Linked DNA regions of Nothobranchius furzeri. Each later gene encodes a partner of the first gene's protein in a complex. Links are inferred from orthologs where the notes say so. Each region holds a gene or a part of one and is shown in the gene's direction. Other genes may lie near its edges.

What was found. Proteins that work in one complex are often made in the same cells at the same time.
Region 2: the proteins of fga (region 1) and fgg are in contact, whole or in part, in a crystal structure (PDB 3GHG), measured with the Homo sapiens proteins. The link is inferred for Nothobranchius furzeri from reciprocal best matches to the Homo sapiens genes FGA and FGG. Residues at the interface, in NP_000499.1 of Homo sapiens: Trp60, Asn61, Lys63, Cys64, Pro65, Ser66, Gly67, Met70, Leu73, Ile74, Val77, Asn78, Phe81, Arg84, Ile85, Leu88, Ser91, Tyr95, Asn98, Leu105, Ile109, Ile112, Asp116, Ser119, Arg123, Asp124, Tyr127, Val130, Ser131, Asp133; in NP_068656.2 of Homo sapiens: Thr47, Thr48, Cys49, Gly50, Ile51, Ala52, Asp53, Leu55, Tyr58, Gln59, Val62, Asp63, Leu66, Gln67, Leu69, Glu70, Leu73, Thr80, Ile87, Ile90, Gln91, Tyr94, Glu98, Asp106, Ala107, Ala108, Thr109, Leu110, Ser112, Arg113.
Region 3: the proteins of fga (region 1) and fgb are in contact, whole or in part, in a crystal structure (PDB 3GHG), measured with the Homo sapiens proteins. The link is inferred for Nothobranchius furzeri from reciprocal best matches to the Homo sapiens genes FGA and FGB. Residues at the interface, in NP_000499.1 of Homo sapiens: Ser66, Gly67, Cys68, Arg69, Met70, Lys71, Gly72, Leu73, Ile74, Asp75, Glu76, Asn78, Ile85, Leu88, Lys89, Leu92, Gln96, Leu113, Phe117, Tyr127, Arg135, Ile138, Leu141, Lys142, Val145, Lys148, Ile152, Gln156, Val159, Gln162; in NP_005132.2 of Homo sapiens: Ala89, Pro90, Asp91, Ala92, Gly93, Gly94, Leu105, Cys106, Pro107, Gln111, Leu112, Leu116, Gln119, Ile123, Ser126, Leu130, Val134, Val137, Trp155, Arg158, Gln159, Val162, Asn170, Tyr172, Ser173, Glu175, Leu176, His179, Gln180, Tyr182.

Annotation. Positions count from the first base shown.
Region 1 is NC_091742.1:90,960,589-90,965,599, reverse strand, and holds the start of fga (fibrinogen alpha chain), read left to right. Parts: upstream 1-1,665; 5' UTR 1,666-1,771; coding exon 1,772-1,822; intron 1,823-2,979; coding exon 2,980-3,087; intron 3,088-3,293; coding exon 3,294-3,477; intron 3,478-3,599; coding exon 3,600-3,745; intron 3,746-4,157; coding exon 4,158-4,256; intron 4,257-4,327; coding exon 4,328-4,480; intron 4,481-5,011. UniProt on the Homo sapiens protein: Cleaved by the protease thrombin to yield monomers which, together with fibrinogen beta (FGB) and fibrinogen gamma (FGG), polymerize to form an insoluble fibrin matrix. Fibrin has a major function in hemostasis as one of the primary components of blood clots.
Region 2 is NC_091744.1:17,238,494-17,243,512, reverse strand, and holds the start of fgg (fibrinogen gamma chain), read left to right. Parts: upstream 1-2,003; 5' UTR 2,004-2,097; coding exon 2,098-2,160; intron 2,161-2,236; coding exon 2,237-2,284; intron 2,285-2,364; coding exon 2,365-2,551; intron 2,552-2,683; coding exon 2,684-2,768; intron 2,769-4,437; coding exon 4,438-4,568; intron 4,569-4,841; coding exon 4,842-4,975; intron 4,976-5,019. UniProt on the Homo sapiens protein: Together with fibrinogen alpha (FGA) and fibrinogen beta (FGB), polymerizes to form an insoluble fibrin matrix. Has a major function in hemostasis as one of the primary components of blood clots.
Region 3 is NC_091742.1:90,742,920-90,747,833, forward strand, and holds the start of fgb (fibrinogen beta chain), read left to right. Parts: upstream 1-1,898; 5' UTR 1,899-1,908; intron 1,909-4,914. UniProt on the Homo sapiens protein: Cleaved by the protease thrombin to yield monomers which, together with fibrinogen alpha (FGA) and fibrinogen gamma (FGG), polymerize to form an insoluble fibrin matrix. Fibrin has a major function in hemostasis as one of the primary components of blood clots.

The DNA of each region.
Region 1 (5,011 bases):
ATGCTGCCGACAACCACTACAGGCATGCATCAGTACGATGGCGTACATGGACTACTACATCTTAGTGAAAGGTGTGTTGCAGTTGGCTCAGGCTGCCTGAATGACACTTTTGCTCTGGAGGATTGCCCTGCACCATGGCTGGAACAGCACCAGTTCAGACACGCTGCTTGTAGGCAGTTTGTTTTGTGGCAGCATGTGACAGGGGTTGCACGAAAATAAGCAATCAATGATGAACAGTCTGCTTCTAGACCTGCAGAAATGGGACACACAACAATACAACAGGAGTAAGCTATCACTGTGTCAACTTGATGAAGAAATGTAAAAATCAACATTGTTTAACTGAACAATCACACGATAATAAATCACAGTGCATTTAGTGCCAACCACAGCCTTAAGACGTGTGTTGAACGTGCCCAAGTCCATACTTATGAGAGCACCATGTGAGCACCTGTGTGCGTACACGCGTTTGTATATGTAAGGTTTTTCTATAGGAGCGTCCAATAGAGAGTATGAGGGGCCACAGATCTTCCCCCCAAAGATACGTAGGAGATGGAGGGAGCTCCAAGTCCCAGAGATCCGGGAGCTGCCCCAGAGCACAGGAACCCCAAGGAGACCGCAACAAGAAAAGCCCCTGCCCCCCTCGAGAGGCGCAGAGGAAAGCCTCGGGTGGCCACAACCAGCAGCCGGTGGAGTTCTGGAAGATATCGGCGGCAAGCCCACAGGCCCGCCCGCAGCCTCCCACCCCGCAACCGGCCAAGCCCGGGGCCCAGGGGCGACCACCCTCACCGGGGACCCAGCAGAGCCCAGGGACCCAGACCCCACCAGGCAGCCACCGGGATTGATCAGGCAAACGCCAAAAATCTTAAACCCCCTGACCTGGGAGCCACGAACACTCAGGCAGACCAAGGCACCACACCCCACACCAGGTGTGGCAGGCAGAGGGGAGGCGAAGATCTATATCATCAAAAGAAGTCCCAGGAGAGGGGAGGAGTCAAAGGCGCCACCTGACATATGCAGTCATACACAAACACAGTCACACACTCCCTCCCTTATGCTCACACATGCACATACAACCAAAGACTTACAAAAATGCACGCCGGACACCCACTCATGCTCCCCATACACACCCTATTCACTCTGGTCCCGGTACTGCTGCACATGGGGTACAACCATTACCGGTTCCCAGAGTTTGACCCTTTCTGCTGGGGTGCTGATGAGCAGGTTCCCCCGCCCAACGCTGAGCACAGCAACCCACCACCCCAGACCCCAACCAGACGGCCAGATCTCCCTCCTCCAGCCCCAGGAAGCCAAGCTGGTTCTGGTTTCTGTGTTAAACTGTTCTAATTTCATCATAGTCCCAGAAAACACACACACGCACACACACACACACACACACACACACACACACACACACACACACACACACACACACACACACACACACACACACACACACACACACACACACACACACACACACACACATTTATAAAAGAGATCTGATCCCTGATGGGTCAGCAGGTCAGATGTTCCTGCAGCTTTACTCACCTGTGTGGGAACAGCTGACTCAGCGGTGTGTTTTGGGTTGTTTTTGTGTATTTTGTGTGTTAGTTTTGTGAGTTCAGACACACTAAGTACAACAAACAGACGGTCGGTGTGAGCAGGAGGTCGTTGCTCAACTCTGACCGGACCTGACGGAGGTTCTGAGGTCGGACGCTTGATAAGACCCGGCAGCGGGGCAGCAGGAACATTCAGAGGAAGAACCAGAGAGATGAAGATGATGAGGTTACTGGTCTGTCTGGTGTGTGTTGCTGTGACTCAGGTGAGCTCCACTTTATCCTCTAGAAAATTCATGAAATGATCTCACCTGTAAGTTTGACTGGTTTAACTGGTCAAATTCATCCTGTTTGACCAAATCTAGAACCAGATACTCTTAATGTTTATTTGTCTGTACGAGTTATTGAATGAAAATGCAGCTTTTATAAAAATAATAATAATAATAACAATAACAATAATAATAATAATAATAATAATAAATAATTAATAATAATAAAGGCTGGGCAGAAACTGGAGGATGCCATTAGTGTGAATGTAGAATAAAAGGAAATTACATTTTTCCTGATAATTTCGTAAAAAATGTTAAAATCTTTCATTTAAAGGCAGAAATTACAAGAATATAATTATATTTTTCTGGCTGACTTTAAAATTGATAGAAAAAAACGGAATTATTTACTTGAATCTGAAGGAAAAAAATGACTGAGCTGAGTAAATAAATAAGACATATGTTCTGGTTTTATTGAGAAGAAATTACAGGAAAATTTCAAAAATTCCCAAACGTTCTTCCTCTGACAACAGAACCAAATGTATTCTGAGAAGGTCGTCTTTTACTTCCCAAATATCTGGGACATTTCAGAACATTATAATGAATACATTAAAATAGTTGCTGGTGAATATTAAGTGAAGATCTGAGAGGTTTTCCTCGTTATCTCATAATATTTATCAGGTTTTGTGTTTAAACGTTTGTTTTATACTGAGAAAGTTAGAATTTAAGATGAACCAGTAGAAACCCACAAAGCCACCTGGACCTACCCAGACCGCTGGAAGAACATCGGTTTAGAGCTGCAGCTGATGCAGGAGCGTTTAAAATCATTTATATTTGCCGAGAAACGTAAAACAAGGCCTCAGACTTCTGAGATTAGAGTTAGGATTGTGACTGTTTCTCTGAATCTTCTCTAAATATCAGTTATAAGAGAGAACCATGATGTCGTCTTTGGACACAAAAACCGAAAAGCTGCATTTTTTTTATTTTATCTACATTTAAAGTAACCAGGAGCCGTGGTGGAAGGCCCACCGAGCTACTAGTAGCTCCAGAGCCGCAGATTTCAGACCCCTGAACGAGACGTGGTTCATCGGGTGAACAGGTGCGTGCTAGGGTCTTCCACTCTGGTGCTACATTAGTGTCCATTTCATCTACTACAGGTTGCGTCTCAGGTTGACCCGAGAGGAGCCCGTCCTGTGGAGCCTGCTACCCGATCAGACAAATGTTCCACCCAGAAGGAGTGGCCCTTCTGCACCGATGATGACTGGGTAATTCTGCTCTTCATCACCTCATAATCCACCCGTCAGAGCTGCTGATGCTCAGGAGAGCAGGAAGGATCACTCCAACGTTGAAACTCTTAATTCCAACTTCTCACATGACAGATTAAATGTCTTTAGTGGCACGAAGAGCCTTCCACAGATTTTAATCCCTCCTTGGTGTCTGACGCTCAAACTGTTGCTTTGTGCTCCACCAGCTCTCCAAATGCCCGTCAGGCTGCAGGATTCAGGGCTTGATGGATAAAGCGGACCATGAGCTGCTGAAGAAGATCGAGAAGATCCGCAGCCTCCTGAACCAGAACAAGGCCAAGCATCGCTCCACCGACCAGGTGTCCAAACAGACCTACGACTACCTACGGGACAGACTCACCACCGATTCTGGTCCGTTTGAGGAGAAACCTTTCATATCTGACACACTTTAAGAAGGAAAGCGAGGAGAAACAGACTCGGAGAAGGTAGGAGGGTGTTTGGTTGGAGCTGATCATGAACATGTTTGACTACAGGAAACAACAACAACTACTACGACCTGGCCCAAAGCCTCCGACAGAGGATCACCGACATGAAGATCAGGATCGACAATCAGATGAACACTCTGGCTGCCCTGAAGAATCGGGTCAAAAACCAGGTCACCGAGATGCAGAGGCTGGAGGTACGGAGAGTCTGCAGGGACAAAAACAAAGTCTTAGTCCTGAAAACGACACGAATCAGCTGTTTTTATCTGAACATAGAAAATATAAAGATTAACAAACAGAACATCAAACTATTAGCTAAATTAGGTAATTTCCTGTTACTAAAACAACAAAAACACCTATTAGACCCAAAAGATCCTCCTGCTGTTTAGAAGCAAACATCAGAGGAGTCTAACCGGAGTTTAAATTCATTCTGTAACAAATAACGTCCAATTTTCCATGAAGTTCCCACAAAGCTTTAAATGTTGTTCTGCTGCCACCAAAAACTCTAGTCTAGTTATAGATAGATTAACATCAGAGCTACCTGACTGGTGCAGGGTTATCTGAGTATTTGCTGCCCAGATTCATCTCTCCAACCTTGTCTTCTGTCAGGTTGACATCGACATTAAGCTCCGTTCCTGCAAAGGTTCCTGTGGTGGGTACAGCGAGTACCAGGTGGACAAGGAGAGCTACGTCAACCTGGATAAACAGGTAAATCAGGATAAATCGGACCTTTGTGAGGAGGAATTTCAGCCGGACTCATTCTTGGCACCCTCCCTCAGATGAGGCAGCTGGAGGCCCAGTCGGCCCAGAGCGTCGAGTCGGTCGGGACGCTGTATGTGATGAAGACCAGCTCTCTGCAGACTGCAGCTGCAGAAACCAGATTCAAATCCAAGGATGTAGGAGGTCAGAAGAAAGACGACGTCTTCTCTGAGGTGAGAAGAACTCGAGTCCAGAAGGTCTTGGGGTGAAGAAAAACACCTGAGAAGATCGGCAGCAGCCTGACAGCAAAATACAGAGATCTGCATCCTCTTTGACGTTGTGATAACACGCCTGAATGCTCCAGACCAGCAAATGCACAAGATACACATTTAATCAGTTAATCAAAAACACAAGTCCTGCAAATTAGGTCAGTGATGGTTTTGTTGCTACTAATGCTAACATCTATGGTAGCTGTTAGTTTGCTAGCTAGCATTCTCCTTCTAAAGCTAGCACCTCACAAGGCAGCGACTGTTGGCTGACAATGAGAACGTATGCAAAAGTCCTGCAAATTAGGTCAGTGATGGTTTTGTTGCTACTAATGCTAACATCTATGCTAGCTGTTAGTTTGCTAGCTAGCAGCCTTCTGCTAGAGCTAGCACTTCACAAGGCAGCGACTTTTGGCTGACTATAAGAACGTATGCAAAAGTCCTGCAAATTAGGTCAGTGATGGTTTTGTTGCTACTAATGCTAACAGCTAGCATAGA
Region 2 (5,019 bases), on another chromosome or scaffold:
TGTTTGTATGTTGAGTCACAGAGGCTAAAGTGTAATCCAGCTGGCAGCGAACGAGACGCCGGGTACATCATGCACTGTTCTCCTGTCCAACACCCAGAAAGATAAAAAAGGCAAGGCAGCTTTATTTATATAGCACCTTTCAGACACAGAAACAATTCAATGTCCTTTCCAGGTGCAAAATCAGAAAGAACAAAAAGCATTAAAATCAACGTGACAACAGCAGATTATAAAATCAAATTTTAAAATACCAATAAAATTGGTAGTAAGAATAAGATTAAAAGTCTAAGTTAAACAGTTACAGTGCAGAAGGTGCAGCAGAAGACCTGGACCCGGAGTTGAATACCGCTGCCCTAGGTGATAGAGCTAGGGAGATCTTTAGGTCAACTACATATCTATGATAAATAATGAAATGTAATACCAATGCCCTATACACTGGCACTACTGGTTACTGATGCGGGTGGTGGTCTTTACATGTGTTTAAAAGAATTGCAGCTTGTGTTTATTTCTGATGATGTTTATTATTTTGTCTTGTTCCAAAATGTCCATGATCCATTTACTTGCAATTAAAGTGGTTTACAGTGAATGCATTACTTGCCCCAATGACAGTCCGCAGAGTCCGTTACACACAGCCACACAATAAAAAACTGTTTGTCCCATCACAGCAACACCTGAGTCTAATCTGTGTTGGCTTAAGTAGGCTGGTGCTTCCACAATCAATTGACCAATCAAATGAGGCCAAGCCTCCTCTCAGGTATGCAGAAAGAAAATGAAAACACATATGGCTCCTACAGATAATGTTGCATAATACCTTACCCAAGGGGAGCATGTCGAGATTGAAGAGCAGTGGTCCAAGAATTGAGCCTTGGGGGACCCCACGTGTCATGGTGATCTGCTTTGCTTTGTGATCACCTATAGAAACAACATAACCCCTGTCTGTGAGATATGAACCAACTATGGACTGTGTCATATAGTCCCACCAAGTTCATGAGCCTTTCAAGAAGATGTTGGGGTTCACAGTATAAACAATCACATATTTTAACTTGTAGCAAAGTAGAAAACTGTTTAAAATACATGAAATTTCTCCTTTCTTGTTACGTACAGTCCCACATTTTACTAAAATGAAAATCAGATTGGAAAAGATCCTATTTAGTGAAGAACACAAAAGCAGACACACTGAAAGAACAGCAAGCCCCGTTGATAGCTCAGGTTTATTTAATACATATTATTACTGAGGGATACTTTGGGGGTAAATGATACATGACCCGCACCTGTATAGCGCCTCTCAGAGTAAGGACTCCAAAGCGCTTTACACTACAGTGTATCATTCATCCATTCACACACACATTCACACACTGATGGTAATGAGCCCTGATGTAGCCACAGCTGCCCTGGGACGCACTGACAGAGGCGAGGCTGCCGAGCACAGGCGCCACCGGTCCCTTCGACCACCACCAGCAGGCAAGGTGGGTAAAGTGTCTTGCCCAAGGACACAACAGCAGAATTCTCTGTCCGGAGCCGGGATCAAACCTGCAACCTTCCGATAACTGGACAACCCGCTCAACCTGTTAAGCTGCTGCTGCCCTAATGGGTAATGTTTATCCTGAAGCTGCAGCTGATATGAGAAAAGTCAAGCTTGCACCAGTGGAGTTATTCAAGAACTAGTGTGCTCACAAATGCCACCAGCTGCAAATGAAGGCCAAAACGTAGCATATACTTCACCAGCAGCCCTTCATTAAATCAATTTTAAATCAATGAAGTAAAGATTTTACTAATGTACCAAATAAATTACTATCTTGACGGGAAAATATGAGCAAAAAGAACAAAACACACCTGTGTCATCATTCACACAGGACCTCTAACCAACACACACTCACGCAGATGTTCTAAACCCAACTGTCCATTCGAAAGCGTCACATCTGGGAATCAGCTGCGGTCGGACGTTTGACTCACAGGTCTGGAACAACAAAGTGAGTGGGATGTTTGCATGTGGACACTCTTATCAAAGGTTGATCGGGGGACCTTGTTCAGATAAATAACCCTCGGAGTCCAGCAGCTCTTCACTCTCCCAAAAAACCACAAACTGGTGGCTGAATCAGCATGGCATCATCACTAGAAGCAACAACAGGAGTTCTTCTCCTACTTTTCTCACTCTCTTCAGCTGTAAGTGGCTTTAATTTTATGTAAAATGTTTATTCGTGAAGAAAAATTATACTGACGTTTGTTTTTATGTGTGCAGCAAGTCAGAGGAGACAATAGTGCATCATGCAACATGAATGATGGCTTTGTAAGTGTCTAACTTCATCACAAACTCATACTTAGTGATTTTTTTTTGCAGTCTAACTTTTTGTTTCTGTATTTATTCAGGGGAAGTATTGCCCCACCACGTGTGGCGTTGCTGATTACTTTCTGAGGTATTTTCCTGGAGTCAACGAGGACCTGAAGACGATGCAAGCAGAACTGGAGACCATCACAAATTTGACTCAAGGAGCCGATGAAACCATTGTGTACATGCGAGACTCGGCCACTTCAGCTCAGAAATCTTCACTGACAGGTGACATCATCATCTGGTTCAGACTCCAGTTTAGATTTTATCCTTAGTGTTTTATATGTTCAGTAAAACACAGATGAGATTTTACACGAGAGGATTGTTTGTGTCACTAATCTGGTTTGTTGGGATTTTCAGATCCGTACTTTAAGAGGTCCTCCAGCATGCTGGATGATGTCCTTCGGTTTGAAAAGACTATTATTGCACAAGAACAGCAAATTCTGTGAGTTACGGTCAGCATTTAGACGTTATGTTTCTAGTGTGTGAGGACATGATGTCAGCTAAATGTTATTTTACAGTTTTTAGTTCAATATTTCACATCTTTTCATTAGTTTATTTGTAGAAAGTAAACTAATGCGTGCGTCTTTCTTTTAAAACACTCATGTAGTGTCCTGTTGCAGTGTAGCAACTCTGAGTAAACACCAAGCTAAACCTTTGTCAAATAGTAAAGGAGTCAGAGTAGAGTTGACCTTTTACTCTTAGAGCCTTCATTTGACAAGCGGTGAAAACTGTAATTGAAAACAAATACAGAACAGAATAAATTATCATGTTTACATAAATATTGCCTCACAAACTAGCTCAAAATAAGACTTGACGTAATTGTATTAGCCTGAGGAAAGAAAATGACCATCAAACAAATTCCTCTTTTAACATGTACAAATCAATCATTGTGGAACACAAATAAAATAGTTTTGTTTTTGTATTTTTTAACAACATTCCCAAGTGGTTGGCTGTGGATAAGCCTCAGAGCATGACCGCATGCCACTCTCACTCTCAGAGCAGCCAGTAAGAGGAGGTAAACAGGAAATTAACCAATACAGGTAACCCAGCAGGAAGTGAGATTATTAGTAAGTTCACCTTCAAAATAAAATCTTCCCATTTAACATTTTAACCTATTCACTGTTCTTTATAACTTAAAAACATACAAATGAATAACTTTAAATGAAACATAAAATATAAATGACATAAATGCCTTTTGAGGCGTCACAACTCATATCCTCCAGCTTCATGTATTAGTGAGTTGTTATATTCTTTTACTTTTTTGTCTTGTATTTTATCCAAAAAGAACACTCTCAAAAACTGTGACACCTTTTAGAACATTGTAGTCATCATTCATAATAGAAAAGTAATTTCAGTCATCTGGAAGAAGTAAAAACTTTTTGAAAATCTATTTCAAAACAAATTATACAGATACAATATATAATTATTTTTCTTAAGTTACATATTCGATACAAGACGTGTTTTTAAAGTTGTTTGCACTGAAATCTTCTCACATGAAGCCTTCTCAGAGATTTTTATATTTGTCAGATCCAGAACTTCCATAATGAGCCGTTTCAAGGTCTCTATCACAAACTGGAGCTGGCCATGCCCACCCAACCTTGCTCAGGCTCCTATAGGCTGAGAAGCTCTGATGTCTGGGAGGGGCTTGGAGTAGAACTGCTGCTCCTCCAGCAGCAGCCCTCTCTTACATGTGAGAAGTGGTTCTATTCTAATTTCCCAGTTTGTGACCTTACAAACGAGGGCCTTTTGAAACGGATTGTTTTAGGCACATCATTCTCAAAACCAAACCCTGACAAAAAAAAACGCATCAATGCATTTTTGCTACATGTGGAGTTTTTATAGAGGCAGTAGAGATCTGCCTGCTAACACTAAAGGATGCAAAAGGTGGTTTTGTATATCATGTCCCCTTTAAATCAAGCCATTGAGAAATTTCCCAGCCCATTTTTTTCTCAGTTTCATTCTTAGTTTATTCTTCTTCATTTTTTTTTCTCCATTTGTCTCCACTGTCAATAATAAACATGACAATCCTTACTGGCATATTTCCAAAGTTGTGGTTACAAAGCAATAAAGTGACTTTTAGACACAACCCATGTTTGTGACGCTGTTTCCAGGGAGCTTAACGATTTAATCTCCTCTAATGAGAGGACAATGGGGGATCTGAAGACGCTTGCAATGCAGCTGCAGCAAAAATGCAGTGAACCCTGCAGAGACACAGTTGAGATCCAAACTACCACAGGAACAGGTAAAAAAAAAAAAAAGACACATTGACACACTCTGACCTTCAGGCCATTCCTGTTTCACAATAAGTTTCTCAATCTGCCCTCAACTGAACAACATTTGTCCCAGTTCAGTGTTTATTCAAAGGCTGAAATCAATATGCATCATCCAAGCAGAGGACACGTGCTCATTTTAGCCCTAATCGTTTAGCCTTAACCTTTCATTTATGAGTCTCATCAAATTAAGTAAAGGAACTTCGTCTCAACATGTTTGAGTTGATTTATTTTCTTCTCTTCAGACTGCCAGGATGTTGCAAACAAAGGTGCTACCACTAGCGGTCTTTACTATGTGAAGCCAATAAAAGCACAAGAGCAGTTCTTGGTCTACTGTGAGATTGACAGCTCCGGAAGAGGCTTCACTGTGATCCAGAGGGTATGGATCACCTTTCTCCTTCTTGCTTTTGCTCATGCATGTTT
Region 3 (4,914 bases), about 220 kb from region 1:
GGCTCTTTTAATAGAACCGATTCTCACAGCTCGGCTCGTCATCGTTGTCTTACTCCGCTTGTCCGGGTCCGAGTTGCGGGGGCAGCATCCCAACTAGGGAGCTCCAGACTGTCCTCTCCCCGGCCACCTCCACCAGCTCCTCCGGCAGGACCCCAAGGCGTTCCCGGACCAGATTAGAGATGTAACCTCTCCTACGTGTCCTGGGTCAACCCGGGGGCCTTCTGCCAGCAGGACATGTCTGAAACTCCTCCCCAGGGAGGCGTGCAGGAGGCATCCTGACCAGATGCCCAAACAACCTCAACTGACTCCTTTCGATCCGGAGGAGCAGCGGTTCTACTCTGAGTCACTCCTTAATGCCCGAGCTCCTCGCCCTATCTTTAAGGCTTAGCCCAGCCACCCTACGGAGGAAACTCATTTCGGCCGCTTGTATCCGCGATCTTGTTCTTTCGGTCATTACCCAAAGCTCATGACCATAGGTGAGGTTTTGGACGTAGATCGACCGCATCACTGCAGACGCCGAACCAATCCGCCTGTCAATTTCCAGATCCCTCCTACCCTCACTCGTGAACAAGACCCCATGATACTTAAACTCCTCCACTTGAGGTAGGACCTCTCTCCCGACCCAGAGATAGCAAGCCACCCTTTTCCGGTCGAGAACCATGGTCTCAGATTTGGAGGTGCTGATCCTCATCCCAGCCGCTTCACACTCGGCCGCGAACCTACCCAGCAAGAGCTGAAGGTCAGAGCTGGATGACGCTAGGAGGACCACATCATCCGCAAAAGCAGAGACGAGATTCTCCTGCCACCAAACTCGACACACTCCACATCACGGCTGCGCCTAGAAATTCTGTCCATAAAGGTAATGAACAGAACCGGTGACAAAATGCAGGCCTAGCGGAGTCCAACCCTCACTGGGAACAGGTCCGACTTACTACCAGCTTTGCAGACCAAACTCACGCTCCTCTGGTAAAGGGACTGAGTGGCCCTTAACAGAAAGCCACCTACCCTATACTCCTGGAGCGTCCCCCACAGGGTGCCCCTGGGGACATGGTCCTAAGCCTTCTCCAAATCCACAAAACACACGTGGATTGGTTGGGCAAACTCCCATGCCCCCTCCATCACCCTTGCAAGGGTATAGAGCTGGTCCACAGTTCCACGGCCAGGACGAAAACCACATTGCTCCTCCTCAATCCGAGATTCAACTATCGATCGGACCCTCTTCTCCAGTACCTTGGAGTAGACCTTTCCAGGGAGGCTTAGGAGTGTGATCCCCCTATAGTTGGAACACACCCTCAGGTCACCCTTCTTAAAGATGGGGACCACCACCCCGGTCTGCCACTCCACAGGAACTGCCGCCGATGACCACCCAATGTTGCAGAGACGTGTCAACCACGACAGCCCTACAACATCCATAGCCTTGAGATACCCAGGACGAATCTCATCTGCCCCCGGTGCTTCGTCGCTGTGTAGTTGTTTGACTACCTCAGCAACTTCTGCCCCTGAGATTGGACAGTCCATCCCCAGGTCTCCTGGCTCTGGTTCCTCCTCGGAATGTGCATAGGTGGGATTGAGGAGCTCCTCAAAGTATTTCCTCCACCATACGACTATTGCCCCAGTTGATGTCAGCAGCTCCCCATCCCCACTGTAAACAGTGTGAGCAAGTTGCTGCCTACCTCTCCTGAGGCGCCGGACAGTTTGCCAGAACCTCTTTGGAGCCGATCGATAGTCTTTCTCCATGGCCTCACCAAACCAAGACTTTGCCTCGGCAACTGCCACTGCTGCACGCCGCTTGGCTATCCGGTGCATGTCTGCTGCCTCCGGAGACCCACAGACCAGCCACTCCCTGTAGGCCTCCTTCTTCAGCCTGACAGCTCCCCGAACCTCTGGTGTCCACCAGCGAGTACGGGGGTTGCTACCATGACTGGCACCGGCCACCTTGCGACCACAGCTAGCAACAGCCGTCTGAACAATCACAGAGTGGAACAAGGCCCACTCTGAGTCAATGTCCCCCACTGCTCTCGGGATGCGGTCAAAGTTCTGCCGGAGGTGGGAGTTGAAGACCGTCTTGACAGGTTCTTCTGTCAGGCGTTCCCAGCAGACCCTCGCTATTTGTTTGCGTCTGCCAGGTCTACGTGGCATCTTCCCCTGCCATCTGATCCAACTCACCACCAGGTGGTGATCAGTTGACAGCTCCGCTCCTCTCTTCATTCGGGTGTCCAAAACATACGGCCGCAGGTCAGATGATACGACTACAAAAAACCAAGTGTACCGATGTGCATCCTTATGTTCGAACATGGTGTTCGTTATGGCCAAACTGCGGCTTGCACAGAAGTCCAATAATGAAACACCACTCGAGTTCAGATCAGGCGGGCCGTTCCTCCCAATCACACCCCTCCAGGTCAAGCTGTCATTGCCCACGTGAGCATTGAAGTCCCCCAGCAGGACAATTGAGTCGCCTGATGGAGCACTATCTAGCACTCGTCCCAGGGACACCAAAAAGGGTGGGTACTCTGAACTGATGTTTGCCCATAAGCACAAACAACAGTCAGGACATGTTCCCCTACCCAAAGAAGCAGGGAAGCTACCCTCTCGTCCTCCGGGGTAAACCCCAACACACAGGCAGAGAGTCTTGGGGCTAACAAAAAGCCAACCCCAGCCCTCCGCCTCTCACCCGGAGCAATTCCAGCAAAGGAGAGTGTCCAACCCCTCTCAAGGACTTGGGTTCCAGAGCCAATGCTATGTGTCGAGGTGAGTCCGACTATATCTAGCCGGTACTGCTCAACCTCTGCCATAAGCTCCTGCTCCTTCCCAGCCAGCGAGGTGACGTTCCATGTCCCAAAAACCAATTTCCTTGTCCGGGGATTGGACCGCCAAGGCTCCCGCCTTGGTCTGCCACCCGATCCACACACCCTTCATGTTCCTCCTGCGGGTGGTGGGTCCACAGTTGGATGAGCCCATGTATCCGGTTTGGGCTGGGTCCGGCCGGGCCCCATGGGCGAAAGCCCTTCACCAGGCGCTCGCTCACGGGCCCCAACCCCAGGCCTGGCTTCAGGGTGCGACCCCGGTAACCCTCCGGGCCAGGTACTCCGACTCTTTGAATTTACATTCATGAAAGATCCTCTGAACGATCCTCTGAACCGTTCTTTGTCTCACCCTTCACCTAAGACCAATTTGTCTTGGGAGACTCTGCCAGGGGCACAAATTGCCCCAGACAACATAGCTCCTAGGATCATTAGTGCACTCAAACTCCTCCACCACGATAAGGTGATGTTTCAAGGAGGAGCCAACTCGGCTTCCAAATGGTAACATTTAAATTAAAAAAATCACAATAAACTTTTATTGTTTGTTGAAAATAAAGATATGTCATTGGAAGTCCAAATATTCAAATCAAAATAAAGTAAATATATAAATCTGAGGAAAAGTTGTCTGCTGTGGAACGATCACATCATTAGAAGTTCAATTTTTTCTGACAAGCATAATTCAGGTTTTTATAATAAATAAGGACAGCAATGAGTGACCAGCTTAAACAAACTCCACGTAGACCTCCAACAGAGTCATTGCACATTTTTATTATTACTTCAGCTCAGAATTAAAATAACAATACAGTAAACCACTGCACACAAATAAGGGATTAATGAGATAAACTTCCAAATATGTACCTTTTTTATTAATATTGTAACAAGGAAAATTCTTTCCCACTTTGAGGGTTGCTGGTGTAATCCCACCTTCCTTCATCATGTGTTTCATTAAATATAGATGATTTGTTGTCTCAATATGACCTTTCTGGCATTAAAAGTTTAATGGTTGAAGGTAAAAATCACCAGAATGATGTCAAATCATCAGAAATTACACTTAAAGGATTAAAAGTGGCCTCAAATAGTGAAAAAGTACAAAACCAATAAAAATACCTGAAATAATCTAGAAAGACATTTTAAAGACTGAGATTAAATTATGTGAAGAATCTCAGTCGGTGACATTCTGAAACAAAGATGTTTCATGCTAACTCACCGTGCTGCTTTCAGATAGTTTTCCGCTGCTGGTGGTGGAAGTGTTTAGTGTGCAAATAAAATTGGGGGGCAGGCTGCCACAGGAATGTGGAAATGGGGTCTATACCTGCACCCCCTGACCCCCTTTCCCCCCCAAAAGTCCTATGTGCATGTTTGTGTGATGATGTGAGGGAGCAGGAGGAGAAAAATGTGTGGGGATGGGGAAGAATGGCTGGTTGGCCTAAGCCCTCCAGGGAGTCAGCTCCCCCACTGGCCCTAATAGGCACCTCCGTTGCCAAAATGCCACCCAGGGCATGAAGATCCCATCCCATCTCACGGAACAGTTTTAAGGCTCAGGCTGAGGCCTTTCCACGGAGCTAGCTATGTGATCACGTGGGTCGGATGCTCATTAATTATTCAGAATTTTAGGCTTTTACTACACTTAAACAGAAGAGTGAGTAAACCCCCCCCCCCCCCCCCCCCCCGAGTTGTCATGAGTGTAAACTAGATATTTTAAACCTAAACGTGTTTTGGAACCAGGCTGTAAACATGTTTATTTCTGCTGTGAAATTGGTATTTTTATAATGGGAGTCAATGAGGATTAGCTCACTTCTGACAGCTGCCCCTAGTGGATGAGGGTGGAACTGTTTCACTTCTGTGTTGGCTTCAATTTCATACCTGAATTATGGGGTCTTGTTTGTAACCTGCTACTCTGTTTCAGACAAACAGGAAATGAATATTTTTACACATTTCAGCCAAACTGCTGTTAAAATAAAAAGTAGTTTTGCACATTTTCTAATTTTAGGAAATTTAAATGTGACAAAATAGTTTAAAGCAGCTAAAAAGAAATAAACAAACTACAACCTTGTATTAAAGCCTGGAACCTTCAAGTCGTTATTGGTTGTTTAGGTCAAAACTAACCAACCAG